Mytilus edulis: one gene and its partner. The protein of the gene in region 1 purifies or fractionates together with the protein of each later gene. This does not show direct contact. Links are inferred from orthologs where the notes say so. Each region holds a gene or a part of one and is shown in the gene's direction. Other genes may lie near its edges. The genes, in order: RILP-like protein 1 and ras-related protein Rab-10-like.

What was found.
Region 2: the proteins of RILP-like protein 1 (region 1) and ras-related protein Rab-10-like purify together in Homo sapiens (co-immunoprecipitation; 3 studies listed by BioGRID and IntAct, with this or other methods). This does not show direct contact. The link is inferred for Mytilus edulis from reciprocal best matches to the Homo sapiens genes RILPL1 and RAB10.

What each region holds. Positions count from the first base shown.
Region 1 is NC_092349.1:38,122,387-38,138,791, reverse strand, and holds the start of RILP-like protein 1, read left to right. Parts: upstream 1-7,950; 5' UTR 7,951-8,008; coding exon 8,009-8,311; intron 8,312-9,544; coding exon 9,545-9,695; intron 9,696-15,055; coding exon 15,056-15,174; intron 15,175-16,272; coding exon 16,273-16,405. UniProt on the Homo sapiens protein: Plays a role in the regulation of cell shape and polarity. Plays a role in cellular protein transport, including protein transport away from primary cilia.
Region 2 is NC_092344.1:102,929,999-102,945,911, forward strand, and holds the start of ras-related protein Rab-10-like, read left to right. Parts: upstream 1-9,189; 5' UTR 9,190-9,449; coding exon 9,450-9,576; intron 9,577-12,769; coding exon 12,770-12,830; intron 12,831-14,233; coding exon 14,234-14,372; intron 14,373-14,672; coding exon 14,673-14,762; intron 14,763-15,538; coding exon 15,539-15,640; intron 15,641-15,913. UniProt on the Homo sapiens protein: The small GTPases Rab are key regulators of intracellular membrane trafficking, from the formation of transport vesicles to their fusion with membranes.

The sequences.
Region 1 (16,405 bases):
TAGTTTATTAGTTTGGTCCTTGATAGGTAAGCTTTACTGACCTGTCAAATTCCTGCTTGAGTAATAAAAAAAACATATAAATTGGAGATTATGGATTTAATCTTTTACTTTTTACCCTGTTTAAAATTGTTTATTGTACCACTTTAGGAATAAGTTATTATTAAGTTATCAACTGTAAAATACATGTAATATTTACAAAATTACAAAATTAAATCAGTTAGTCATTTAAGTATGCACAAAAAGATTTTGACCAATACATAGAGGACATAATATGTTAATGTACATATCCACAAGAAAATTCTTATCAGTTGACTTTTGTAGAGTTATGAGTCTTTGAACTTAGGAATCTGGTAGAATTTTGTTTGTCCAGTGACAATGTGAGAGTGGGGTATGTGAGCGTGCTCACAAAGGTTCCTTAATTTATAAATGTAGTTTGTAACTTTTATTTATAACTCGGTATTCCCTTGGAAAAAGAGAACCTAGCTTTAAGTCTGTACAAATGTCTTCACGATGATGTCGTGTTCAAGTTATGTTAACAGGAAATTTTGTTGAATATCTCAGTATAAACACCTACAGCAAAATTTCTCGAGGGCTTTCTTTTTTATCCTCATAAATGAATATAGATAATATCCCATGTCTGAATTTGGACGTAATCTCCAAGTTGTATAGTAGATTGTGAAAAAAACTTTACCGTGAGCGTTTTTATTGAACAAACAGAAAAGAGGTCGAAGATACCAAGGAAAAAAAAGAGTAATGATTTGTTTGGTTTACTGATATGATTATCCTGTTTTAATGAACATCTTTTGTAGTGCATGACATGTCACGTATTCGACTGAGACTCACGGTTTGTTTGGCATTTGATCATGTGTATGCCGTAATAAATACACTCATAAAATGAAGAAAAAAAACTAATTTCTGATTTCCAGTCTATTTTTATCGATTTATTGTCAGAAACATTAACATCTCAACTTTTGTTATCAATGTAAATTCATGTTCTCAGTCTTGGTTGGTGTACTACTTTTCCGATTTAGGTTTTAAGGGGGTTGTGATCCGTTATTAAATAGTAGAATTTTGGTTATAAGTTATATTTTTCTGCAGTAAATTAACAATGAAAATAATATATAAACCTTGTTTCGTTGAAAAAATAATAAGCATACTTATTAATCTTACAATGGAAGACGAAGTGATTTATAAATAAAAAAATATAAGGTATCATTTTTATTTATTTTTCTATCCCGCATCAATGTTTATTTATCAATATGTAAGGTCACGAAGGCGTTTTAATAAATGAATTAATCAACAACGTCATAAAACACTCGCTAATGGGATGGGTCAGGTGCTCGATAAGGACAGGAAGGGGAAACAACTCGTTACCTCAATGCAAACGCCATCTTGATGCTCGGAAATATTTTTTTCTGTTTACCAAAAGGTTGATTTAGCGGATCGTACATATCAGAATGACAAGTAAGTCAGCCACATAATATTTTGAGAACATGAGCTTGCGATCTATCTATATGACAATAATAATCGCACAGAAAGAACTATCTAAATCAGACGATCAAAAAGTTGTGCTATTGAAAATTATTGAAAGGAAATCGCAAGGCACTTGCGATTTCAACTTTTTTCAAGAAAATGACATGGACAGTTAAACTATTCTATTTTTTTTTACATAATATACCGTACACATGGTGTTTAAAGTTCTACTGCTCGATATTGGAAAACAAAAATTAAATCAAAAATCAAAATAACGAGTTTGCAGTTGCATGTTGACATTGTTGTTGTTCTATTGATATGCTAATCAAATACCACGTCATAAATTATTTACCACACAGTCATGCCGAATCCTTGAAATAGTTCCTATTTAAGTGTTGGCAGAATGTAAGTGAAAAACATCCTAAATTTTACATAATTTATATTGCTTGATATAGTCATCATGGTCATGTAATGTTTTTTTTTTACAAAAATGTACCATGTTTCATTGTTTGTACTCTCAGTCATTGTTAATTGTCAGGTCAGTTGTAAATTGTTGTATTGCACATGGTAAGCATTTTTTCTCAATTTATAAAGGCACCCAAAGGTGTGGTATGATTGCCAATGGGACAACTCTCCACAACTTGTGGCACAAGAGACCAAATGACACAGAAATTAACATTTCTATAGGTCAATGTACAGCCTATAGTGCAGTCAGCTATAAAAGGCCCAGAAATGACAAATATATAACAATTCAAGCGAGAAAACTTACTTATTTGTACGAAAAAAAACCACCAAAAATAATAAATATGTATTAAACATGTCATCAACAAGCGACAACCACTGAATTGCTATTCTCCTGATTTGAGACATGCACATACATACAGAATGTGGCGGGGTTAAACATGTTAGCTGGATACCTACCGTCCCCTAACCTGGGACAGTGGTGCAACAATACAACACCATAACAAACTATAAGAATCAATTGAAATAGACCTAATATATTGTAAGTAAAGTTAGTAAAGAAATCTTTATTTACAGTTTGGTTGCATATATATATAAATATTAATAGCAAGGAACATTCATGCTTTTAATTAGAGCTCTTTAAGGATTATGTACATTTTGGCTAACCATGGAAATTTCCGAGAAAGTCCAGCCTTTCCTTTGTACTGTACATTTTGTAATATTTGACCATTCTATATACATGTACATTTTTTTGTACATGTACAATGTATGCTTGATAGATAGAGCATAATTGCATACCTTCTAACATGTAGCAATAATTTCCTTTGTATGACAAGTTTATAAATCAAATTCATGAAATTATTGGTTACAACAAATGTAAATATGGGCCAATTCAAATACATCTTCTAAATTTCTAATGTGCATTCAACTTTAGTAACTCACCAGGAGGATTCTTGGAATGTAAAGGTTAGTCAGGGTGAGGCCTTTTTGTAAATAACGGACAATTGCATCCCATTATCCCTATTTTCTATGGCATGCAATAATTTAAAACAATAAATAATGTACATGATGTATCTGCGTTGAAAGGAGTTTTCCCTTGGGTAACATGCATATGTGCAAAATGGCACATCTCTAATACCATGAATACATGTATTCATTATTTTGGCTGTTTTGACATTTTTGATATTATTGAACTAAAAACATTCCAATTTTTTTTCTTCAAACCTGTAGATTTTGAGTGTTGCAGATGCTGTACATTATGCAGAGGTATGTGAAATGGAAAGAAAGAGATATATGAACATACAGTGACTGTTTTGAATTTAAGGTGTACCGGTAAGTACATTGTATATATATATATAATATAATTATTAAAAAAATGATATATCAGCTTATCAGTGAATGTTAAAACATTTATTAGAGTTCTATATTTCAGTTAAAGTAACAATTTTTGTTATTTGTGTATAAAGCAAGGCAAATGTAAAAGTTAATTTGTTAATACATGTAGTATATTGCTCATCTTACAATATCATATTTATAGAAAAAAATAATTTTATTGGACTGTTTTCCTCTGTTGGATATGCAATTGATATTAAAATGAATCATCAGTAACACAAAAAATCTTTATCTTCAGAGGCAGATTAAGGGGGCAGTGGCCAACCCCCACCCCACCCCTTTTTTGTGGGTTGATTATATAGTGGGTCTCATTGGAGTCTGAATGTGACGCGGGATTGCCGATTTTTTGTAAGCGTAACATGTGAAAGTCAAATTATTGTGTCTGGAAAATGGGAAATGAGGTCTAGCGGGACCCAGGAAAATAACAAAAAAATGAGAATTGCTTACATACATAGTGTAAGCAGGATACGGGAATCTGACAAAACGGTAAGCGGAATCCGGGATCAGAACCCCCCCCAATAATGAGACCCCCCTATATAGGGAATTACTGAAGCATGACTGGAATGGGACCCCTCTGATGACTATTTCTGGATACAAATGATATTTATATTATATAATAACATGCAATTGTTTTAAATTCTTGATTTATATTATCCGATATCTATATGACTCTTCTCTTTTTCAGGTAAAAATGTCGAGCTACAAATTGTACCAAAAAAGATATTGAAAATTTTAAAACTGTTTTAACAAGGGCATCAAAAAATAGAAAAAAAAGAACAATACCAGGGCTGAACTTTTGTGGCTGCATGCAATTATTTCTAAAATACCAGGAAACAAGATGTAGCTGCACAGAAGACACGGCAGATCATGAAATTGCATATAAAATAAGGAATGCTAGAATCCAAGAAATCTTTTAACCAAGTCAAGTGTTTATAAGACATGTAATCATGAAAATACTAACACATATATTAGTATTCACAGTCACATATTATATCCCAAATATAAGAACTATATGGTATGTGTGACTATGTCATGTTACAACATGTATGCTCAGAATATTTTAATTTCACAAGGATATGAACTGGATAAATGAAATATTGTCAACCATTTAAATAAAGCAGACTGGCTAACATAAAAATCAACTGTCTATAGATGTGAAAGTTCAAGTTGAATAAAATTGTCTCGAATTAACATACCATATATCCAAAAGTACTGAATTGCCTTTCTCAGAATATTTGTATGTTTAATAGAATGATAGCTGTATTTTTTCTTGGAACTGTATCAATATAAAAAAGGGAGATGTGGTATGATCGCCAATGAGACAAATCTCCACTAGAGACCAAAGTAAACGTTAGAAAGGACAGGTCACAGTTGTGTTTGTCATTGTGTAGCAATCTATAAAAGACACAAAGATTTAAAAGTGTAAAAATATTCAAACAAGATAAACAACTATCAATGATTCCTCTTAAACCTGCAGCCAACACACTGAAACTAAAACAACAGTCAATTACAGTCATATTCACAATAGGTACTATTTTTGGACAACAGAGAATTCAAAATACCATCAAAGGCAATAAAGGTCAACATGAGAACTCAATAGGATATTGAATTTTGGTTAATTTTCATTTACAAAGCTACTTTTGCAAAGGTACAAATCAAGTACTGTAAATACAGGTACATGTACCTAAATATTGATTTTGTGTATTTGTATATAAGGTACACAGTTTTCTCTGCTTTCAAAAGTTCCTATATGAAGCTGTCCAGGTTTCTTACTATTTTATCATTATTATCTGGAAGACATCGCTTATTTCCCCTGAGAAGGGTAACTCATGTTTATCATCAAAGATGTGCATCACAACCTTGGTAGTGTACTTGCTCACAATATGCCATTAGAGACATATATTCCATTAAAAAGTAGATAGATGGTTGTTTTCAGGGTTTGTATTCTGCAATTCTTGGAACACAAAAATAATAAAGAATGACAGGAAATAAAGTAAAGTGGGGAATTCAGTTTAACAACATACAGTCTGTGTTTGAGTTTTAGACTTAGCCTTTGAGTGTTAAAAGTTTCACAGTTCTTGAGTTATGTCCCTTTTTAACATTATATGCTAGCTAGTGAGGGCATCATCTGTGTCCCTTTGGACACATTCCCCATTTATTTTTTAGAAGTTACTATTAATTAAAATTAATATTAACCATGACATTTTATTTTAAATGAGTAGTTATTGTTGCAAACTCCATTAGAAATTTGAATTGAGATCATTTTTAGAATAAGGGAAAGGGGGAGATGAAAAAAAGGGGGGGGGGTTCAATTTTTCAGATTTCAGAAATAAAAAGAAAATTTCTTCAAACATTTTGTTTTTGAGAGGATAATATTCAACAGCAAAGTGAATTGCTCAAAAAGCAAAAAAAAAATTAAGTTCATTAGACCACATTCATTCTGTGTCAGAAACCTATGCTGTGTCAACTATCTAATCACAATCCAAATTCAAAGCTGAATCCAGCTTGAATGTTGTGTCCATACTTGCCCCAAGCCTTCAGGGTTCAACCTCTGCAGTCGTATAAAGCTGCGCCCTGCGGAGCATCTGGTTGGTTATTGCTTAAAACTTACCACACTTTTTAGTTATATTTATGTTAAGATCTGTATAATTTTTGGTGAAGATTTACAATTTTATTTTAGAGTAATAAGGGTAAAAAAGGAGGGGGTTCACATGTCGCACCATATGTCAGAAACTTTATGATTATTGCATAATATTCACACACAATACGAAGGGCGTATCATATGCTCATGGCGCAGCTGTTTATTATGGTTTGTTCTTAAATTGGAATACTATAGCCCAGGCGCCTGAGGTTATAATCCCTCATTCTGTATGCTTCCCCCCCCCCCAAGTCAGGACCCTGCAATTCAATGGTTTCCGTTGGTTTCTCTGTTTCACATTTGTTTTTCGTTTATTATTTGATAAATATTTTTAAGTAAGTTTTTTCGTTTTAATAGTTTTAGATTTGTCATTTTGGGGTTATATATATATAGAAAATGTAGTAATTGTTTTGCTCATTGTTGAAGGCCATACGGACGTCGTTGACCTATAGTTGTTAATTTCTGTGCCATTTGTTCTCTTGTGGAGAGTTGTCTCATTGGCAACCATTCCACATCTTCTTTTTGTATAGCTTGTGACTTTTGTAGCAAAAGCGAGACAGCTATCCTACATTCCTTCGTCGGTGGTGTGGTGTCCATAAAAGTTCACTCTTTGGTGAAAGTTTTTGGAATTTTAATAACTTTTTTAAACTGCCCTCGGTTTCTACCAAACTTTGAAGGAAGCTTGTTTATGATGTGAAGATCATTACTATCCAGAATTAATTTTTTTTTAAATCGGTTTATCCGCACTTTACTTATAAATGGACCTACTTTTTCTGCCAATTACATCCAGTTTAAAAAAAAACCATTGATTAGATTTATAATCCAATATTGATTTTAACTCGATTGAACCGAACCCAAAGATATATATAGTATCTAAAGAAAAAAATGTTTTCACCATTTTTTGTTGAGCCTGCTACATTTGGTACTTAAAAATTTTACAACAAAAGTAGGCGAGACCCTTACGATTTTTTTTCTATGATGAACTCTTTAGATCATAATATATATTAATGATAAGATGAAAAGAAAATAGAAAGTCTATGTACATCTTATATGAGTCACATTGACAAATACAGCATGTACAGTGTGGTCCAAAAAATGTAGAAAAATCAGAAACTGGAATGAAATACTCTGTTGTCTGTGGTTCTGTCATAAGCACATATATACTTACAAGCCGCTTTTGTAATATAAAATAGATAATTATGCATTCATATATTAGAATAAGAAAAGTCTGACAAATTAAGACGATAAAAATTAAATAATCATCACTGACACAAGAGTAACCCGGACAGTTCAAATAGTTTATACTGCAACGACCTGCAGGTAGAATGCGAATTACCTGTCACTAGATTCGAGGGGGGGGGGGGGGGGACAGGGAGAAAGGGGGTAGGAGAAAGGAGAGGAATTTAAGGCTGGGAGAAAGTAGAAAAAGTTGGAGAATGGAGAAAAAATAAAATATCTCTCCTTTTAAAAAATGATCTATAAATATTTCAAGAAAAAATATCTCAAAAGGAGATGTTTTATTCTAATGAGAGAAAGGAGAACGGGGGTAGGAGAAAGGAGAAGAGGGATGGGAGAAGGGAGAAGGGTACTCCCCCTCAGATTCGTTAATAATGTACAAAAATATTTGCACTACAGAAACAAATAAATTGGGGGGAATTTATTTTTCTTTTAGTTAATTACCATTTTATAATCATATATATCATGAGTTGAACAAGCGCATGGGTGTAATTAATACGCGTTAGTTAGTTATCAAACTGTGTAATGACCTTTTAAATTTAGAATAATCGAGTTCAAATATATCAATATTCATGTTGTAACTTATTGTCATTTTGACGTATTTTTTTTTAAACCAATGGCAAGATACGATTTATTTTTCGACTTTCTCTGTTATTTAGCCGTTTGGTATGGTAAAGTCCCAACAGCTTCGAATAAGATCTTCCCAGCATATTAGCATTGGTTTCCCTCCCCCTTACTTATATTCCCCTGATAAGGAAGATGGTCAAAGTATATTTGGGAAAACATGACTAAAATCAAATATCTACCATGGATACATTTAGATCTGATAGAGAAGTAATGGCAGAAGAGGCTGATGATGCCATTTCAGTCGTTGACGTATACGACCAAGCCGCGTCAATTGGCAAAGAATTCGAAAGAATGATAGAAACATTCGGTGTCGAAGCAGTAACAGATTTGATGCCAAAAGTGATCAAAGCATTAGAAAATTTAGAATCATTAGCAGCTAGATATGAACGTGAGAATACAGAGATAACGGAACTCAGGACAACAATTCAAAAATTGGAATCTGAAAAAAACGAAAAGGCACAAGAAAGAATGAAATATGAAGAGGTTAATGTTTGTTCTTAAAACTTGTACAATGACAATGTTTTATGTCTTTTCTTTTGCATATTTCTTATTTTTCATATTATTTGTTAATCAAAAAATTAGGACAGTAAGATGAAAGTATGTTCTTTGTTAATTGCACTTATTTGAGACTGTTTAGTACAATTCTAATGCCAGTATTTGTTGTAGGAATCAATAATTATAATATGCAGTGTATTGATCAATATCTTTACAGTGATTAATTCAAAACTTTAAAGCAAACAGAGCAATTCTATTGATGAATTTAATTAATTTTGTGTAAATACTAAATAACGTGAAAAAATTATCTGTACATGTCAGCACAATAAAATAACATTAACGAAACAGCATGAGCTACATATATATAATATGAAGCTTTTACATGTTATAAGTCTTAAGTTTCTTCAACAGACTTCTAATCATCATGGAGGCTATTGAGAATTATAGCAAGTAAAAATAAGAGCTTAAATTCAGGACATGACCATCAAAATAAAACCACATTATTTAAATGTCACAAAAGCATAAAAATTATAATCATGATAATCAAACCAAAACAATTGAGGAAGATACAAATTAAAATTCACAGTAAAAGATTAAGAGCCATAAAGCAGATTTATTATAATACATGTAAGTTAAAGATAGGATTTTTATTATATTCCTGTTGGTCTCCAGAAAAGAGAATAATGGGTAAAAAGTATAGAACTCAGATTATATGTGTGGAAAATGACACTAAATTAGAAAAAAACCAGATTTACACAGAAATGATAATCCTGAACCATGATGCTTTCTCGTTGATATTGATCTATCATGATCATGTCAAATGTACGAATGCTGCTGGCATATGTGTGGTTCCATGAATACATCATAGTTAATTTCAGATTCTAAGCTGAATTTAACTAAAAGTTGTAAACACCAGTACAAAAATACATGTGTATGTACATATACTTTGTAATTTTAGAATAATAGAACTTTTGATGGAAATGTGAAAAAATTAAGCACTTTTAGTTAAAAATTGTATCTAAGTGTTTTAAACATGTCTTAATTTGAAAAAGAAAGATTATTAAGTGATTAACTTGACTCAAAATGTAATGTGTTATGACCTAATATGACACCATGTTACAGACCTTCAGCTGTGTTGTTTGATAATATTGTCTGTTATTGACTTTCTGATGATTACCTCAAAACTTGTATTATTAATATCATGGATATTGCTATTATTAGGAGCTTGAACAGATAGAAGAAAACTGGCACAGAGAGACAAAAGACCTATATAATTCTATTAATAGATTAGAAATTGACAACAGAAGGTTAAAAGAACATCTACAAAACCAGACTGTAGCTGTAAAGGAGGAAGTAGCTGCTGTAACTAAACGTTAGTAAATGTTTGATATGTAACCATGGTGACCAGGGACAGAATTTGTAGGACGAATGCATTGACAAAATTTTTCCCTATTATTCTCCTTCAGAAATGACCAAACCTACATGAGAAATATGAGGGGGGGCTAGAGGGGGTCTCATCCCGATTTCCCGGTTTTTTTTTGTCACAAAATCCCGAAATCCCGGACATATTTTGGTAAAAATCCCAATCCCGATAAACAAGAAATCACCATTTAATTAATAAAGAGGTCCTCCACTATTTTAGGTAACGAATACTAGTAGACACATCTGACACAACTTTTAAAGGAGGCCGTCCTGGTAAACTTTGAAAATTAAACCCTCTGAGTAATGTTAATCTTAAATATTTGCTTTCAATTTGTGCCGATGATTTTGACCAATATATTTAGTACGTATACATTTTAAACACGTCAAGTTGGGGTATTTGTTTTCTTCAAAATTGCTGCTGCAGAATGCCATAAAATATTTGTATATGATATTCGATTATAAAGAAGACTGTGTCTGTGAAATTATATGTGTAGTAAGGCCAAGAAAAATACATGTGTTTAAGGTAACATCCCCTAAAAAATTAAGTTAGGTAGAAACAGTCAGGGGACTTACTTAAATGAGTGATTTTTAAATCACTTATTTAAGTAGCAAATTAGAAATTTTGTTATAAATTGTGATTTTGTAGTTATACTAAAATTTTAAACACATAGCATAATATCTTTTCATTAGTAAAATTGAAAAAAATGAACTTTTTGCTTCTTTCAAGTAGAAAGGTTTATGCCTTTGGTGCAATAATTTAGCTGCAAATTCTATTTGGGTGGATAAAATGCTATAATAATGGCCTAACTTAATGAACTGATACTTTCTTAACAGATTTTCCCCAGCAGTGGGAGTATTTTTCCTGTAAAGTTCAAGGTTTCAACTTTCAGATTATGTAATAAAATTCTACTGTTCGCGATAAAAATTTCACTGTTCGGGGGTGTTAGTGAGGGTTATTAGAATAATGATACTTAAAGAAGTGATTTTGCTAGCAAAAATAGTTTGTTTTTTTCAAACGTTTTTGACTGGTTCATATGGGAGAAAAATATTGACTCTACAAGTGCTTGTCCACCATGTCCACATAACATAAAAAAACCTTTTAAGAGTAGAGTTAGATTATAGGTACTTAAAAATAGGGTAGATATATATATAGGGGTACCGGAAACACATGTGTTTTCTTTTAGGTCTTACATGATCTTACTCTTATTGAAAATATCCAAATCAAGTCTAACTTTTGGGAAGGGTTGTAAAGAGGCGTTATGTTCAGGGATAAACGCGAAATAAAATTCCAATTTCACGATGAACGAAAAATAAAAAAAATGCTTGCACGTTGCCGTTTTTACCAATTTCACAGTGAAGCACAAATTTTTTTCACGGAAAGTTGTAAATTAAAAAAGCCAAAACACGTTGCACGAAAAAAACCTTTACCACACTCTTTGGGTATACTGATACTCTAAATCAGAGCGACACTAATACCAAGGAGCTTATACATAATTTTATCATGAATTTTGGTGAGCATTTCATTCGCGTACAGATTTATTTTTTGTGATGTGTCAAAGGCATTTGATCGTGTATGGCACATGGGACTTCTATATAAGTTAAGAAAATATGGAATAAAGGGTAATTTGCTTAACTGGTTCAAAAGTTATCTTTCTGATAGACAACAAAGGGTTGGAGTAAATGGGTTTTTTTCTAACTGGAATACTGTCCAGGCAGGAGTCCCTCAAGGGTCCATCTTTGGCCCTTTTCTGTTTTTATTGTTTGTGAATGACATAGTAGATGTGGTTACAAACAAAATAAAACTGTTTGCAGATGACTTCTTGTCTATATTGTGTTGTACATGATGAGAGATCAGCAGCTGAATCCCTGGGGCAAGATCTAGAATCATTAGGTCAATGGGCAGGAGAATGGGGTGTTGTAACCTTCAATGCAGACAAAACCAAATCTATATGTACTTTACGAGAAAAAGTAATATTGATGTCACATCACTATGCATGAATGATGCACCTCTAGAAAATGTCTCAGAACATAAACATCTTGGTATAACCTTATCATCTAATGCCAAATGGTCTAGTCACTTACAGGATATTTATTCAAAAGCTTGTAAACGTCTTAATATTATGAGATATTTAAAACATAAGATTGATGGACAGTCTCTGGAAAGACTTTACATTGCATTTATAAGGCCTATTTTAGAATATGGGAACATAATTTGGGATAACTGCACACAAGAAGAATCAGATCTAATTGAGTGTACAACAAGCTGCTGCCAGAATTGTAACTGGGCTTCGAAAGGGAACTCCTAGATGGAAATTATAAAAGGAATTAGGTTGGGATTCCCTTCAGAATAGACGTCAGAAAAACAAATTATTGTTTCTTCATAAAACTATTTCTGGAGATATTCCTAATTATATTGCTGCTGATATCTTGTCGTATACAAACACTTATGACAAGTATGGACTGAGAAAAAAAAGGAAATTTAAAACTCCTCAGTGTCGAACCACAGCCTACATGGCCTATAAGAACAGTTTTATTCCACATACTCTTGAAAAGTGGAATTCACTTGATGGAGAAGTTAAAAATATTTTAAGCTTTACAGGATTTAAAAGAAAACTGAATGAGGACATAAGTCCTTGTCCTGTTTTCTTTTCCACTGGTTCACGTAAAGTTAATAGATCTATAATCCACTGCCAATTAAGAAATGAGGCTAGTGATCTAAAAGATCATCTCTTCTGTGATCATTTGTCGGACAGCTCTATATGTGCCTGTGGAGATCCAGTAGAAGATAATTTTCATTTCTTTTATGTTTGTCCATTTTACATTTATCAGAGATATGAGCTCTTTCGACAAATAAGTAACTTTAATAATGTCAATCTTGATGTCCTACTACAGGGTTGCTCAGACTTAAATATTGATGAAAACACTGAGCTATTTACATATGTACAACAATATATTCATGAAACTGGAAGATTTTTATAATATTTCATGTGCTACTATACTGCTTAGAAATCAGCTTATAACCACAGTGTACCACTCTTTAATTAAAGACAAACCTAACTTTTAACACAAAAAAAAACAACCAATTGTGTTTAGCATCTTTTTGCAAATAAATTTATACATATTTTATTTTATTTTTTGTATTAGTAATTATATTTTCAAAAATCAAGAAATTAATAGTCTTGTAATAAGATGGTACACTAAATTACTTATGTATTGCAAAAAAGGGCCAATCAATTCTTGTTATTCATATAAATAGAACAACTTTGTTGCAGTGAGTTTGTGAATTTGAGTAAAAAATAACTTAATGATCTACTTGATTCCTAACCAACACTTATTGATGTGGTATAAAATTTGACACTACCTTCAGTAGGTCTTGCTTTGACTTTGTTAACATAGTTATTTATATATGTATACACAATAAAATACTTCAAGAAGTGGGGGAATTGCCTCCCCTGAATCACTGCAACAACGTATTATGATCTATTAAATTATCAGAAAATTATATACTACTGTATCATGCATGTTATTCAATCCATCTTGTATGGGAAAGGATTTGTATAGGCACTGCCTTTTGTCCAATCCCTTTGTTTAAATGTACATTTGATATTTGAACAATAAAATATTTTGAATTGAATTCGCGTACAGTGGATATTAAAGCTGAAATCATCTCTTTTGTCGTAAAGTTTTGTTTTCAACCGACCCTCATTGTCAATTTCTAGATGTAAGTCAAGATATGAGGCCGACGTAACTGTATCTGTAGTATCCTTTATCTCTAGCTCGATTGGATAGATGCGTTCCACATAGTCACCAAATTTTGAATTATTTAGTGAAAGAACATCATCTATATAGCGAAAAGTAGAGTTAAAGGATAGTGCTAACTTCTTATCTTTCTTCCTAAGAAGTTCCTGCATGAAGTCAGCCTCATAATAATAAAGAAACAAGTCGGCAAGTAGAGGGGCACAGTTTGTTCCCATTGGAATGCCGACAGTCTGTTGAAAAACACGTCCTCCGAACGTAACAAATATGTTGTCAATCAAGAAATCAGGCATCTTGATAATATCAGTTTCAGAGATTTTTTTGTTCGAATCAGAGTGATCCTTTACAAAGTAGGATTTATCCCTCCCTAAGACAAGATACTTGTATCTACGTTGGCCATTCTTTTTTTACTAAGCAAAGCAATACCAACTCTTTCAATTTGTCTTTTAGTTTGGAATGTGGAATACTAGTATACAGAGTAGAAAAGTCAAATGTTTTAATACTGTTACAAGATGAAAGAGAGTTAGATTGTATGTACTCTAAAAGATCTTTGGAATTTTTAAGTATCCACATCTGATTCACGCCCCCTCTAGAATAGGCAGTTTCACAATAACTTTGAAGCCCGTCTTTGATTGCTGATAAAATAGATGTTAATAATTTAGAAAGAGGTTTCGTGGAGCACTTGAGCACTATCTCTTTCATAAGAAGAGTGATTTTTCTATTGTTCTAGTGTCACTGGAAATCCCACTGAAATATGGCACTGGCTACGGTTACTTCAAAAAGTGAGCAGAAAATAACAATAAGATCTGGATCTAATCTGTTTCTAGATGCGATTCTGATTGAAGTATAATGAAAATGGTACTTTTATCTGTCCAAGGTACAGTTTTTTGTCAATCCCGTTATATTTCAACATAAAAATCCCGATTTCCCATGGCTAAAAATGTGGGTTTCCCGTATCCCGATGTTTTTCTATCCCGAATTCCCGATCTTTAAACAAGGCAATCCCAATTTCCCGTTGCTAAAATCGGCCAATCCCGGCGTCCTGAAAATGGTCTCGCCCCCCCTCAAATATTAAATCATTTCTACAAAGTTCTCAAGATGGGAAATAGTATATATATTTCAAAAGAATATTGAATAAACATTACAGTAACAAGTATAATCTTTGCAATTCTTGTAAGCATTTTTCTCTATCATTACTTAATGCATGTTGGAAAAAATCATCAGGTTTTTTTTTTTGAAATTGGACAACAGGCTTAACATGTTCAATGTCAACATATAACATGTATAAATCGAGCAGGTTTTTTATAAAATATTTTATTAAATTAAAAAGGAAAAAAGTGTCAATTAAGGCAATTATTCTTTAAAATGTAATTATCAAATAACAAGGTTGGGAAGACGTTTGAAATGTTGTTTACTTTTTATTTGCTATTAATTTGCAGATAGCCAGACAAATAAGATAAAGATCATTAAGAGTTAATTAAAATTTAATTCGATATCATGAAAATATTGAATAAATATGATGAAAAAAATAAAAAATGCTGGCTGTACTTTCAGAAACTGAGGAAAAAGAAATTGAAGTTCTGATGAAATTAAAAGATACTGTTGACAAGCAGAGAGATGATCTAAGGAAACAGAAAAGAGACCTGAGTCAGAAAAGTATAGATTGTGAAGCAGTAAGAATATCTCTCAATAATTTGAAATTGTATTCCTTTTGTGAAATTCTTGTTGTCAATAGCTAGAGTATGGTAAATAAATGTAACAATTTATCTTGATGTCTTAATATGATAGATTATATTGTTGTAAATATTATGTAGAATTCTGAGCATTCATCAATGAACACAATCTTTGTAGAAAGTAACACGATTTATTAATATTTCACTACATGTATCATACAGATGTCACAAAGTTTACTTAAAATACAAAACACACTGCATACACTATGACAGTTCTAACCATTCCAGCTATTCTGTTTATTCGTCAACATCTCTCTGCTCTCACGTCCCTATCTAACAACGTCAAAATATGGGGAACAATATTTACAATATATTGCTTAATCGCAGAACTGTAGACAAAGTCACAGTCACAACACAATAATAAAATCTTTTTTGATAAAATATAAGTCTTTAAAAAAGGGGTAATTTTATCTAAGATTCTAAGACATAAATTGTCAATTTGATTGTCACAAATTGAGTGCTTGCATTGCATTAGTTGCTAGTAAAGGGATTTTTGTGACCATTCAATCAAAAACTGATACTTATCATAACTCACTAACTGTGAATCTAAAAATACAATATTGTATTTATATGAAGAGTGAAATAATTAAGTGCCAGTCTTTGTAAGAATCAGGCAATTTAGGTAAAAATTAAAACATGATTAGAAAAAACCCACCGAGCTAATCATGCTATTTAATACTACATTTTGTAACCATCATCCTGAGTTAAAAAGTGTTAGTCTTTTGTACGTGTGTGTTTGGTAATATCAAATAGCTTGGTTAGAAAATTGGTTAGAATGATAGCAAATTACAGAGTTATCTCCCCTTATTCGTTAATTTCTAGTGCATTTCAACCAAATTGTATCTTCTATTACCAGAACAGAAAATGGAAATGAATGTCATTTTTGTGCATAACTACATATTATGAACTGAAATCAATGTCAAATAGGGTGGGTTTTTTTGGGTCATGTTTTCACCACTGCCTGATTCTTAGGCAGACTGGCACTTAAGCAAGATCAGACGCATGTTTACTTCACCAACATATTATTTTACATTTTAGCTACAGACACAATTAGAACAAGTTGTGAAAGTAAATACAGAACTTCGTAAGAAAAACACAACACATAAAAAACAATCTAGAACTTTGTTAGAAGAAAAGAGTGAGTTAGAGGCTCAGCTTGTAGATAAAGAAC
Region 2 (15,913 bases), on another chromosome or scaffold:
AAAAATGTATAATGGTTCTAGACAAACACATGGCAGATTTTAAAAAATGAACACGCTTTTATTATACTTTAAAAAAAATTTGCCATATCAAATAATACTATATGATTTTTTGAGAGAGAACTTGGGAGAAAGTAAGTGATGAATGTTAAAGAGAGTGCAGTGATTTAAATGTTGTTAATTTTTGTTTTATATTTATACTTTCAGACATTTGTACTTTATTTAAGCATGAGTTATGATGTAGTATCATTTATGATCAAGAAATATGGCATATAGTTATAATATGATCACACCAAATAAAATGAAGTTGAATTTCAATGGTTTCTTTTTTTTTTTACCCTCAAGTAGAGGGGTTAAATCACAAGATACACACTCACTGATAAAGAATATCTAAGGAATCTAGACTTGTGGATCCTGCATGGTTAACTGGAAATCTTTTTTATATTTACTACTTTAAGGGGGCTCGCTTGTATAAAACATTTTTTTTTTCTAATATAGGATTTCCCTATATTTTTCTATGAATGAACTTTATCTTATACTTAATAGAAAAATAGAATAAAAACATGGGGTCACCATTCATTTAAGCTCACAATCTGCCTTCGAGAGAAGCATATTTTTTTGTAAAATTACTTTTTTTCTGTTGAACTAATAGGAGAAATAAAGATAATATTGAAATAAAAAAAGAACTAAAATTACAGAAATCACCCAAATTTTACAATAGTTTAGTTTTAGTACAGCTTATTTAAAAAGATTATAAAAAATATAGGTCACCAATGAGTTAAAAAAGATATTTCAATTTTAATGCAAAACAATGGCATTTTTGCACCAAATGGAGATAAATTGGAGCTTTTTCAATGATATATACATTTTGAAAGTCAACTGGGCCAAAACGAATTGACTTTTTGGAATGATTTTTGTTCCATGTGATAAAGTAACAACTAATAAAGTAAAAAATAAAATTTGTAATGAAAAAAAAAAAAAAAATTTAAATTCTGAAATTTTTATACCCGCGAGCCTCCTTAAGGGGCGAAAGATACCAGAGAGACAGTCAAACTCACAGATCGAAAATAAACTGACAATGCCATTACTAAAAAAGAAAAAGACTCCATTCCCATGGGAAACAACTGTGCCCCTCTTCTTGCTGACTTGTTCCTTTATTCAATTGAGGCTGACTTCATATAGACCTTCTAAAGAAGTAAACAGTATCATTTAACTTTACTTTCTGCTACATAGAGGATGTTCTTGCACTAAATAATTCCAAATTTGGTGAGTATGATGAACTCATATATATCCCATTGAACTTGAGATAGAAGATAAAACAGAATGCGATACAGTTAAGTCTGCCTCATATCTTGACTAAAATCTCAAAATTGATAATGAGGTTTGGTTGAAAAACAAACTTTATAAAAAAAAAGAGATGATTTCAGCTCCCTATTGTGAACTTTCCATTTTTATGGGCAACATTCCAGCAGCGCATGAATACGGAGTATATCTCCCAGCTGATACGATACTACAGGGTTTGTTATTCCTATAATTATTTCTTTGACAGAGGGTTGCTGTTTACAAGGAAGCTTTTATGATAAAGTAACAACTAATAAAGTAAAAAATAAAATTTGTTATGAAAACAAACAAAAAAATTTAAAATTCTGAAATTTTTATACCTGCAAGCCTCCTTAAGGGGCGAAAGATACCAGAGAGACAGTCAAACTCACAGATCGAAAATAAACTGACAATGCCATTACTAAAAAAGAAAAAGACAAACTCCATTCCCATGGGAAACAACTGTGCCCCTCTTCTTGCTGACTTGTTCCTTTATTCAGTTGAGACTGACTTCATATAGACCTTCTAAAGAAGTAAACAGTAGCATTTAACTTTGCTGTTTACAAGGACGCTTTTAACCAAAGAGTTGAAATTCCTTCTTAAACTTTAAGCACCCCATCACGGGTTGGTTGATCGTAACGGAATATCTGTTTCCCAGATGATTGTGGATCTGTTCCTAATAACATTACTACAATCTTTTCTGGAATCTGACCCACTGAAAGAGACTTATTACCGAGTTTGTACTAACACCAGCAAAACGACGGGTGCCACATCCTGAGCAGGATCATGTTACCCTTCAAGATCACCTCAGATCAACCCCAGTATTGGTTGGGTTCGTGTAACTCAGTCTTTAGTTTTGTGTTTTGTATTTTGTGTTCTTTTATCTGTATGTTATTCGTTTCCTTTTTTGGCTCGCATGCCGTTGTCAGTTTGTTTTCAAGTTGCAAGTTTGAATGTTCCTTTGGTATCTTTCATCCCTTTTTTTATTTAGATTTATCCTTATTTTTGTTCAGTCTAGGGCATTGTGATCCTCCAATTTCAAGGACTGCACTAAAATGGGGAAAGTATAAATGTTCTTGACGATCACATGGAATTCTTCAGACACCGGATCTGTCATGCAGTTTTTCCTTTTGTAAACTTTCGTTCTAAATGGTAGTTTTAGAAATTGAAGACACTGGTTCTTCTTCTAGATGGAACAGGCGGGATTTATCACATTTCTTTGTCTGTTTGTCTAGAGAAACACATATTCTAGTGTATGAGCCCTTTGTTGGAAACATTTTTACATGAAGGTTTTTTTTTGCAGAAAACAAAATTGACGAGTACACATCTGTTACTCACCAATTGCCGCACTGTAATATATCAAATCACTGGCTTTGACGATGTTGAGTACTTTTATGAACTCCGAGTCAGTTGTGAAGACCATGATAGACAGAAGGGTTGATGAGCTACTTCAACAGAATAAAAATAGAAAATTCGGAATGTACTTAGAGTGGGGTGCGCATATTCGCCGGGGACACAATTTCGCCGTTTTATAATTTTGGGTTGTAAATACTTCAAAAGATGGCTGAAATGGAAGAAATATGCCGGTAACTAAGATTTTTATAACAAATATGATTTTATTTTAAACTACGACAAAATTGCGGTAAGTCAAAGGACCGAAAAACGGATAACGATTTTCGGCCAATTTTCTGAATAAATAACTTTCAAATTAGTATTTCTTAGTAAATATTTGACTGATTGCCCTAAATTTCAGTTCTGTACACCTTTAAAATGTCTGCTATTGCCATCTATAATGAAATTGATTTGAAAAATATTGTTTAAAGCTGCAGTTATTTGGGTTTAAATAGATGTATAAAAACGGCGAATATGTGTCCCCCATTGACAAAACATCAGGCAATTTCAAACACCCTTTAATCTAACTTTTCAGACGATTATTTTCAAACAAACACGTTTTCAAGCTTAAGAATATTTTGCATTTGAAGTTATCTTCGTGTAGAAATATCAGTTTACTTCAAAAACATATAGACCTGAACATAAACTGTGGAAAACATGGAAAGATATGGCGAAAATGAGCACCCCACTCTAAGCCATAATCAAATGACAAGCAAACTACTAACAATTATTCAAACAACCTCTCTACCATGTAAAGGTATGAACAATTTTCATTTTCTTTTGATTATGAAGACATAACTGAAGATAATGCCACTGTCTTAGTCCCCACTATAATGGAGGCAATTCAGATATAATTGTAATCTCATATTTCACGGATTCCTCATTATCCTAATAATGGTTGATTATTCTATGTTTGTGATAGTGTCTGGCTTTTGTTGGAAAAGTCACATACCTTTTTTTTATTTACTTCTTATTTCAGGTTTGTGAATATTGATTTTAATAAAACCAAAGCACATAGAGCTCTGGTGGTTAGTTTTGTGTAAATGGTAAACTGATTGTTTATGCAGTGAAGTCCAGGCGTCATGTAGCCAGTGCTTATATAATTGCTTCTTATATAGATGACATTTAATTGATAAAAACTTCGGAAACTATCACTGTCAATACAATAGATTCAGATTCAGATTCTTTATTTCTTATAAAACCAAGTTAATAGTACAAAGAAAGATATTTTTACATATTATAACATACAGATTTTGCGCATGACAAATTTGCACAAAACGAGCAACAAGCCGATGAGAGATTGGTGGTCAACCTGGAGAACATACTTCTATATTGATAATTCTAATTAATTTACACCAATTTTTGAATACACGAATATTTTTTGAAATAAGTAAAGCGCCGAATTTCAAAACATTTACTCGGCTTACATAGTCAGTTTTAAGAAAACCTCTTCTGATCTCTTCTACTTTCTATTAGAGCTGTACAGTTTAGAATATAGTGATATTCATCACCTATCTCTTGAGAGTTACAAAGTACATAGTACCTTTCCTGTCTAATAATTCAACGCCATCTGCCGGTTTCTTAGGCATCCGATGATTTCCAGTTCTAAACCTACATAACGTTATTTTATCTTTATAAGGTAATAAGTCTAGGCTAAATAAGAGCCTAGATGGTTCTAGTAAGGGAGCAACCACTTCACTTTAAAAGGTGGCCACCGTTTTTAGAGTTTTTTTTTTATCTCGTGCCAGTGGCGTAGCCAGTGTTGAAACGATGTGGATGCGAAATTGTCGGCGAGCGGAGCGAGGCGAAAAAATTTTGGGACCATATTATGCAGAATTTTTTTTTTTTTTTTTAATTTTCCCATTTATGCATGAGTATTCCCCTAGAAACCGACACTAGTTAGATTTTTGTTTAATTTCAAAATACCAACCAATATATATTCATTTTCCAACAGAATTTTATTGTTTTCTCGAAAGTACCTTCAATCAATTCAAAAATATTTAATGTTAAAGTTTCACACTTGACATCACAAAAATATAACAAGTACAGCGGCACCTCTGTTCATGGAACTTCGAAATATAGGAATCGCAGTGATCCTCTTTCTCGGAATATAAGCCTCACAATGGTTTTTTTTATAAATTGTCTTAAAGTGTTGCAGTGGACATGGAAATACCGGGCGGCCTGCTTCCGTCTGGTCTTGTTAGCACTGTCATGCATACAATTCCTGCCAGCTTTTTGTGAAACTTGTATCATCAGCAATGTCTCAGTTGACAATTGCGAAAATAAGTCCTGATCATCTTTTTTGAACCCATTGGAAATATAAATTATGACTGAAATCCAATTGCATTTGTTCTGAAGCTGTTATTTCTCTCCAGATATTTTGTATCTTCGATAAATAAAATAAGAGTAATGCTGGGACATAGGAACTCTTTTCTTAAAAATAAAATTAAAATATTTGTAACTAGATGGAGAAGGTATTTATTAGCAAAGAAATGATAACACTCCATTATACAAATACGGTTTTTATCACGTTGTCTTTCGCATGATAGAAAACGTTATCAGGATATGATGGTTTAGTTGTCAACTTGCTCAATTTCAAACTAAACATGCGGATTTGTTATAACCACCCTCAATGTTTGTCGCAGCCGACGACAAGCTACGACGTAGACTTTTCACGAAAAAGTAGAGAACACCTTTTTTGCGATTTATCCATCTTGTTTACATACACTAAATGATCCTATAGGAAAGACCACTCATACTGCTTCGTAAATGATTGAAAGACATTTTCAAATCCTCACCTTTGTATCTGCTGTGAACACATGCAATCATATATTTATTAAAAAAACTTTTTTTTGCCAAAATGATGTGGATGCTTGAGCATCTGAGCATACATGCAAGCTACGCCACTGCGTGCAAATCACTAAAGTAAAGGGAAATTCTGCACTCAGAATATTTTTTTTGTCATCTGCTTGACCATAATATTTTTTATTCATCAAATCGGGGATCAGAAACATAACCCAACCCCTCCCCTTTGAAGTGAAATGGTACCCTAAAAGAACAAACATTGTATGGGCCATGTTTAATGGCCTATATTAACAGTGCGAAACTGACCTAATCACCAACATTTTTATGTTCATTGATGTTTCAGTATACGGATCATTTGTAAAAGAAACTGCACATTTCTAGAAATTAAAGAAATGTGTATGCCAACGTTTAAAACGTTAACAATGTTATACAACGAAAACAAATTGAAAATCATTGTTTACTAATTTCTTAATCTGCTAAAAGTAATTATACAACACGACACCCTTCCTGTGTTTCCTTTCAAAATTTAGTCAGCGTGGTCTTTCAGGTCATTTATTATTGGTAGTGGACACTGTGGGACTCAGTTGGCAGTTTTTTTTCTTCAAAATCTATTTAATTTTCAATGTTCTTTTCACTGAACCCAGATTTAGAATCAGCATGACGGGTGGCAGTTTAATTTCGACTTATGAGCTTGAATGTCCCTCTGGTACTTTTGAGGTTGTTTTTTTATGTGTTGTAAGACCGCTGAGCTGAGTCATATAAGACTACACATACATTGCAAATCAATATTACATTGCATACGACTCAACTACATTGTAAGTCAAAATACTATGCATGACTTAGTAACTTGAAAAAAAAATGTACGGAAAATTATGGGACATTAGAAAGATAAATAGACAAATATACAAAAAAGACTTAACATTCAGTTGAAACACAAAGTTCCTTTGCCTACCAACAAAATATGTTTTCCCGTTTTATAGTAATCTCTGGTTTGTCTCATGAATTGATAAATAGAGAGGTGAAAGATACGGGTCGCCGAATGGTACTCTTGTGGTTTTGTACAAAATTCAATTCTGTCATAACAATATCATTTTTGTCTTACAAAACTATGTGAGAACTTGAATTTGGTGATGACAAAATTAATTTTTGTAGACAAAATTCAATTTTGTCAAATAGGTATGCAAATATAAACTGATTTGCATACAAAATTGACTTTTGTAACAAAAATGAATTTTGAAACACAAAATTTACTTTTGTGTTAAATTTTCACTTCTGTTTAACAAAACTCAATTTTGTCTACACAAAAATAAACACATAACTGAATTTTGTCATGACAATAATGAACTTTGTCTTCAAAAATGAATTTTGTGTCACAAAAGTCAATTTTGTCAACACAAAAATAAACACAAAATTGAATTTTGTCATTACAAAATTCAATTTTTATGTTTATTTTTGTGTAGACAAAATTCAATTTTTGTGTTTATTTTTGTGTAGACAAAATTCAATTAACAAAACTCAATTTTGTCTACACAAAATAAACACAAAATTGAATTTTGTGACAAAATACCAGTTTTATATGCAAATTAGTTCACAGAATCCAAACTAAAATTGACTTTTGTCGCCCAATTTTCAAATAAGGTAACAAAAGTAAAGTCTGTGTTTCCAAAAATGAATTTTGTCATTACAAAAGTAACTTTTGTCCACTGAAAGATAATTTTGTATGACAAAATTTTAAATTTGTAGTATGCTACAAATTTTGATAAACTGAACTCATTTTCGTTGAACAAAATTCACTTTTGTCCGTATGAAATTGAATTTCGAGTACAAAACCACACGAGTCCCATTCGGCGCCCCGTAAAAGATACCAAAGGGACATTCAAACTCGTTAATCGAAAATAAACTGGCAAAACCATGACAAAAAGACAAACAACACAATACAAAACACAACATAGAAAGAAAGCTTAAGGCTGAGCAAACACCGGGAGTGATGTCAGGTGCCAAGGAAAGGTAATAAGATCCTGATCCACATGTGGCACCCATCGTGTTGCTCATGCATGCAAGTACAACCCCGATGGTAAGTATAATTCGGATGTCACATTCGTTGATAAATAAACGGGGTTGTTAGAATTGGAACGTATCATAGTCGTCATCTTTGAAACTGAGACACCAAAATAGTCAACTTACTCGTTAAAGAGTCCGTAAAATATTTGAAGGAATGACCACTTGGAACTCTTGGTTTTATGACTACCTTTTGAGCAGACACTAACTATCATTGAAATCATGATAGGAAATACAAGCCCTGGAACATCATATGAGATATGTACTCATTATGCAGGCGCTGCTGAAATGGTGGTATATATAAAGAAAAGGAAAGTCCACAAGTGGGAAGCTGAAATCATCTCTTTTGTCACAAAGTTTTGTTCTCAGTCGACTCTCATAATTAATTTCCAGATGTAATTCAAGATATAAGTCATACTTAAATTTATCATCCACTGTATCCTTTATTTGAAGTTCGATGGGATAACTGAGTTCAACATAGACCGCACCAAACTTTGAATATGTGTTGAAAGTATCTTTATAAAGCGTGAAGCGTTAAATGATGCTGCTGACAATATGTGTTCCTCATTTCGTCACAAGTTTTAACCATTTATATATGATATGCTGACATATTTTTATCATTTTTATTTCCTTTTTCTGCAGTATATACCGAAAGCTCTTCAATTGTATAAGCAACTCTCCTTTGAAGATCAGTTTGCTACCTTTATAATAATTTTCGACTATGTAAAGGTTCTAATACGCATGATACGCTGTGCACAACTTTTTCTAAAACAGAAGTATTCTTAATCAATTATAAAATTTGCTTTCTATAAATCCAGAGTGAAAAATATGTCTGTTGCAATATTATCTTGAAGTTTATTGAAGAAGTTTGTAAAGACCAACATGAAACCAGAGACATAGTATAATACAATTCACTAGATGTAAATAAACACAACGGCAGCCGCATTGGACGTAGAGGTTAAGAAATAATAATAAAAAAGAAGGATTTTTGGAAGATTCTTCTTATTAGATTGTGAGTTAAATAGGGAACTGGGAAACAAATTTTGGAATAATTTAGAAATCAGCTTTAATGTTAAAGGTTTGTCTGTATAATAAAGAAAAGGTGACGTTTAGGGGGCGCCTTTTTACCAATGTTACACGAAATGACATTTGCGCTTTATTCTAAAACTAAGCCGATTATTTTGTAATTGTCACAAACTTATTGCTTGATGTTTATATTACAATAAACATTTACAGCTGATGCTGTAACGATTTCTGGCAAACTTTTTCTGAATGAAAAACATGGGGCAATCTCAAAAAAATTCTTTGACTTGATTATTATCAAAAAAATTATGGCGAAAATGAGAACCCCACTCCATGATATTAATAAACAATGATTTAAAATCATAACCGATATAATTTTTGGAGTTTACCAGTTAGCACCAATCAGTCCTTTTTATTAAATTATATAATATTATATATGAGTATACATAACCTGAAGTCTATTTTGAGAGTCTGTTTCTATAGTTCAGACCATTCGTCTCAACTCGGCCGATTCCGTACCCTCTTCTATAGAGTAGCGGATTCTACCGAGGAATAATCGCAGATCTTCGGAAAGGTTCGGAGCTCTTACGATTTGTCTCGGAAGTTATCTCCCTTGATAATGACCCAGTAGGAAGTGACGTGACCAGACGGAAAATTTACTGTTTGATCGGTCGATCAGTTGATTGTTAATCATTGTCCTAAAATAGACAGTCTCATTGTTTATATACAAGAACTTTAACATGTTGAACCACAGTCAGAATCTTGACAGTTAAAAACAGGAATTGATCGTCAGAAAAAATAAAAAAGGAAAATCAGACCGCCATTTTATCAAACCAAAAACACTTCTTCAAGTTATGGCGAAAAAGACATATGATTTATTGTTTAAGTTACTTTTAATTGGTGATTCTGGAGTTGGGAAAACTTGTTTACTATTTAGATTTTCAGACGATGCTTTTAATACAACATTTATATCAACAATAGGTGAGTGTTGATGTTTAAAACACTTGATTTGATACCTAGTGATTGAACTGATGAGGTGATGATGACTCATACACTGATACAATGAACATGAATTTTATTGACCAGTTGGTATTTTACTAGCCACACACTATATCAATAGTGTCAAGGTCATGATAACCAGTTTCAGGGGTGTCTTTTACAGCTTATGGGGAGATAACAATGACTTTGTCGTAATAACTCAAATGTTTTACATCCAGTATTTTTTGCGGTACTGTATTGTTTATATTTGTAAAAAAATAATATTATGATATTATATTATGCTCCTTTTGAGCCCATTTTATAGAAATAAAGCGTCTTCTTCTTCTATTTTAAAATGTATATATAAAAAATAAGAAATATTAAGCCTCGGTCACACCTTACCGGATAGCCTGAACGAACGCCTAATGGATGAAAATAAGAGTTGTCTGTTGACAAAATTGTTATCTGTTGGGAGTCCATTGATGTACTGACCGAATAAACGGACGTGTAACAAATTCATAACGGACACACACCGGATATGCAACTTACGAGAAATGGAAACGTAACGGACAGAACGGATGTCCAACGTACATCCAATGGATGGGTACCCCATAAAACGGACACATAACGGAAACCTACAGGATAAAACTAATGAACAAGATATAGATCTATGGAAAAAATAAAGGCGACAATTATAATACATGTAAATTGCATAAATATTCAAAATGTTTCTGTGTGACTGGTTTTGGTTTGTTCTTCAAAATGCCGCCGAAGGGCAGTATCTGGCCTGAATAAGAGCTGCATGATTGTGAAGACGTGCCCTTACTCTAAGATCGATTATGAATAATAATAATTCATGAACTATAAAAAATCTAATTGGCATTTCTGTCGCGAATTTTTTTATTGGCATTTTTCCGTTTCAGATTCGTTCATCATCTGTTTTATCCGTTATACGTCCGGTAGAAATCTGTTTCACATTTGTTCAACATTCGTTTTATCCGTTAGACGTCCATTAGAAGTCCATTGGTGAATTTATCTGCCAGACCTCCAACGGATGTATAACGAACATGTATTCATGTAACAGAAACAAAACGGACGAGTACCGTAGAAAATGGACACCGGTCATCTGTTCATAGTTTTGAACATGCTCCAAATTTTCCAATGGACAAAACTTAACGTCGACAATTAAAAAGTACGCTAAACCTACATGCAACGAATATGAACGGATTGAAAAAAAGTTATCCGTTTGGCATGCGTTCCAACCATCCGTTAAGGTGTGACCGAGGCTTTACAGTAAAATGTTCATTCTTTCAAATACAAATAACAGATCATTTATTGAAATCAACCTAGCTGTATAAATAATATTTAAAACTGATTATGTCATCATGTCTATTTTTTCATCACATTTTATCAAGTTGTATTGAACATTATTATCATGCTTGACTTTTTATACTAATGTATGCAATGCATATGTTTGCATTTTGTTTGATTTTTCATGATGAGGGCCTCAGGATAGATTAGTTATATAGCTAACTGTGTAACCCTCTTAAAATAAAGTATTATTGTTGTTTTTGGGATACGATTGCTTTCAAGCAATCTGTAGACTTATACCGGTGGCTCAGAGCAATTTCCCTCACGTCAATCATTTTATTCTAAACATTAAGGAACATCTTAGATTCTTATGATTGTCTTGCTTTAAAAGGTAAAAACAAACAAAGGGATTGAACTTAATCAACTTTCCTATAATGTTCTTTTCATAATCTTCATGTTTGATAATTCCCTTGACTTCGATGCGTGTTTTTAACAACATGGAAAATCAGAATTAAGCAGTATTTATATTTAGTGTAGTTATAAATTTAGAAACACGTCACAGGGAATTCCCAGTTTTGATAAAATGCGAGAGTTCTCTGAATACCGATAAATCTATTTCTTTCATATAAGAACTGAAGTGGAGTTTTTCTTATATGTTACCGTTATGAAACTGATATTTGAGATTGTACTTCCATAAAGAAACTGAGAACCATCTAGGTCGTTTAATAAGCATTTGGAATATATCTTGCCACAGGGTTTGATTTGGAAATTATGTGCATGCGTATAGTTTTCTTGACTTTAAGGGGTTTTAGATTGAATGGTTGCTCTGGATTCCCCACTCAATTAATTAATTTATAACTCATTGGATCTTTTCTATGTATGTCTGCTATTGAGGGTTATTGTTGCATAATTTTAAATCATGTGCATCATTTAGATTAAAATAAATATATTCCACATCGTAGAACACCCCTTCAGGCGAAATGGAGTCTTCCATATTGTTGTTTCGAGTTGTCTCCCTTCCGGCAGTAACTTCCGTGAATTCTGAATATAAACAAGATGTCGAGTATTAGCTTGTTCTTTCAATAAACATCGTATTATATTAAAAACGAATGCAATTTAAACCGATAAATGTGTACGGAAAGGAGCCATGATGACTGACCCAAAGGAAATTAAATATTTAAAGAGTTAGGAATGGGGTTCCTCCTAGAATTAACGTAGGAAAAAGGTGATAAGATACAAATTGAAATCTACATCATACTACGATTCATCAGCACATTGATGACTATACGTCGGTGCATCGCTAATAGTTATCAAAGGTACCAGGATTATAATTTAGTACGCCAGACACGCGTTTCGTCTACATAAAGACTCATCAATGACACTAACAGACACTTAATAAAATATAATAACCAATGAGTGAAATAAAATACCTTCTCTGACATCTCTCACTCCGAGTCAGTCAGTGACTGCTGTGGAAAGTAAACTTGGTATTGATAGTACAAAAATAAAACACAATAGACCTACATGTAATTACATTGTTCATACACTTTTATCCGGGTTTGGCTATTTTGTAACTATTTTACATGTCTGTTTGTCATTTGAATTAGTTTTGAAAATAATATTATCCAGCTACATGCATACATGTGTCAATGAAACAATGGCAATCGTATCCCTCAGAGCAATCTGCTCTTTGATTGTTAATACTTTCTCAAATTGAATACATCTTTGTTATACCATGCATATGCATGAGCTAAATAAAAGATAATTTCAATACAATGGTTTGAATTTGAAGCTACATGTAAATCCAAACTACTGTGAACTCTGAAATACATTTTGAAACAGAAAAAATAATTATAACCTAAATTACTTTCTTATTGTTTTGCAGGTATAGATTTTAAAATTAAAACTGTAGAATTAGGAGGCAAGAAAATTAAATTACAAATATGGTAAGTTAAATTGTATACTTATATTATTAAAAAGGGCAGTGATTATTACAATAAATAGCCTTTATAGATTAATCAATTTATTTTTTTAATTACACAAATCTGTCTGTGGTACAAAAAAGTTACAGGAATTGATCTCTTATCAGTGTTGATGCTAAACAGAATTATGAAACAGTAATGGTAATGGGATATTTTCTCATCTCCACATTTTGAGGTGAAATAAGTATGTCTTAAGTGCTCTCCAAAATCAGGAAGTACATGTATCAAGCCATCAAGAGCATGTTACATGTCTGAAAAAAGTTCTAATTTGAGAAAAGGCTTATAACCTCTTTTATGCATGCATGCTGACCCTTCAGCACTGTGGAATGATCTGGTTGACAGAAATGTGTGCACTGTTCAGAAAAGATGTTTTAAAGTGTTTGTATTTTGTGATTTGTTGACTTGCATTTTCATGTATGTAAAACAAGATTTACATACTTTTATAAAACTTGTTACAATGTATAATTGATACCAACTGTTATTTCTGAAAGTGTACATTTGCATGTTAGCAATATACCTTGTTCAAATATTTATACATATAAATATATGTATATTATTACAAAACTTGAAGGATGAATAGCACTTAGGGAAAGGAAGTTTTAACAGTTGGTTTTATATTAATATAGGTCAACTTAAGATCACAGTCTAATATTCTACATGTGAAAATAGTATACAAACTGTCAAATGATTGAGTAGATTGTATATTTCAGGCTCTGCAGTTACACATACACGTACCAATTGAAATACTTTGTATTTCCATTGATTCTACTGACCCATCCCACATGAGCATACATTGTATATACCAAATACATTCAATTTATGCTCACAAAATTTTAACCAGGAAGAAACAATTTTTCAATTTGAAAAGATTTATTCTTAAAATATCATTTTTGATGAATTTAGAAGATAAATGAATTAAGTATTATAATGCGCTATACTGAAAAGTTTGATGACAGTTTAAATTTAACTTTAAAAAAAAAACATAAAAAAGAAAATATGGAAACCTATCAATATTGATCGTGACCTTGACCTTTGACTGTAATGAGCCCCTAATAGTTTATTGTCTTACTTGTCCCCAGTCAGTTTTTCCTTTTAAACGAAGTTAAATGTTTGACATATTACACAAAGAATTTTGTTTTTAACCTTAGCCTTTAGCCTAGTATGGATGATAATATGTGTGCTGTAATTAAAAATCAAAGCACATATATCTAATGTGAATGTAAAATTTTGTTTCCTACATATAATGTTAGTTTAAATTAAAAAAGTTAATTATATATACTATTGTATTTACTTGCTAAAAAGTACCATATGATATGTTGTTTGTTATGGTTAATACTAAATAATGTATATACAATCTTTATTTTTAGGGACACAGCTGGTCAGGAACGATTTCACACAATTACCACATCCTACTACAGAGGAGCAATGGGAATAATGCTAGTCTATGACATAACAAATCATAAAACATTTGAAAATATTACTAAATGGTTACGAAATATTGATGAGGTAAGAGGAAGTATTATTGTTATTATCAATTATGGAAAAATTCTCACGGTTCTGTGTGAAAACTTTGAAATTATTCCTTTTTTAAATAAATAAATGCAATCATTCACTGCTATATTATAAATTTAAACAGTTTGTTATATTGCTATAAGTAAATGCAAAGACTAATAATTAATCTTAAAAATCTGTCAAGATATTATGGAGATACAATATCTTGATTTAGCTCAATAATTTACAGCATATGTGTTCATACAATAGAAATATTGACTTGTCATGTTATTAACTTAAATTCTTATTTTACAGCATGCAAATGAAGACGTAGAAAAAATGATTTTGGGAAATAAATGTGACATGGATAGTAAGAGACAAGTGTCGAAAGATAGAGGAGACGCTGTAAGTAGTACATGTATTAAACTGAAACGCACTGGTTCTTATTTATCTCAATTTATCACATAAAATGAATGACACAATTGAAAAAATTCAAATAGATGAAACAAGGAAGCTTCTTTGGTTTGACTTTAACACAGATTTTTTTTGTAATTAGTTAATTTTTCATGAAACATGTGAAATTACATACTACAGTATTCGATACACATTATAAAAAATATAGTAATACTTGAATGATCAATTAAGTCATAAGGATATATTAAGATATAAATATTTAACACAGATTTATAAAATGTTGAAGATAAGTGGATATGAAATGATCAATATTAATGTAAAATGATGATCAATATTAATGTAAAATGATGTAAAGGAATGGATCTTTTAAAATTAAAAATGTCTATATTATTATTATATTGCTGGCTGAAAGAAGCAAGTATAAAATGAAGTTTTCTTTCTTTTTTATTAGTCTTTTAAAAATATCAGACAATGAGTATTATTTCATGCAAGAGTAGTAGTTAAAATAAATTTATTATTTAAAAACACAAATGAAAACACACATTTCTTTACTTTAACATGTTAAAGTGTGATGCTCACACAACAGTACACGGACAGTTGCAGAATTAGTGCAAGTTTGATGGAGTTTTCATAATAAGTATATCAGAAGAAATATTGTAGTCTAGCAAACCTAGAAAATTGAATTTACTATTTTGTGTACTTAAATAAGTCTTCATTGTGTTTTAGAGAAGAGCGATATATTTTTAATTCCTGATGTTTATTTTTAGATTTCAAAAGAACATGGTGTACCATTCTTAGAAACTAGTGCAAAAGCTAATGTTAATGTAGAAAAAGCTTTTATGGACCTAGCACAAGCAATTCTGAACAAGGTATGGATTGTTCAATAGCTTAGTTAGGAGGAGTATTTTGAAGAGAAAGTTTAAATTCATGTGTCAATAATATAACTGTCTTTCCACATGAATTTTAAGGGGTAAAAAATGTAAATATAGAACCAGAAAAAATTGCTTGGGTGGTACCCAACTTCTTCACTAAAATTAAATTTTCTTTTTAAATTTTCATGAAATTTTGACAAAATATTTACTTTGACACTTTGACAAAAATATAAAAATAAAAAAAGTTTGACAAACACAAAGGAGTATGTT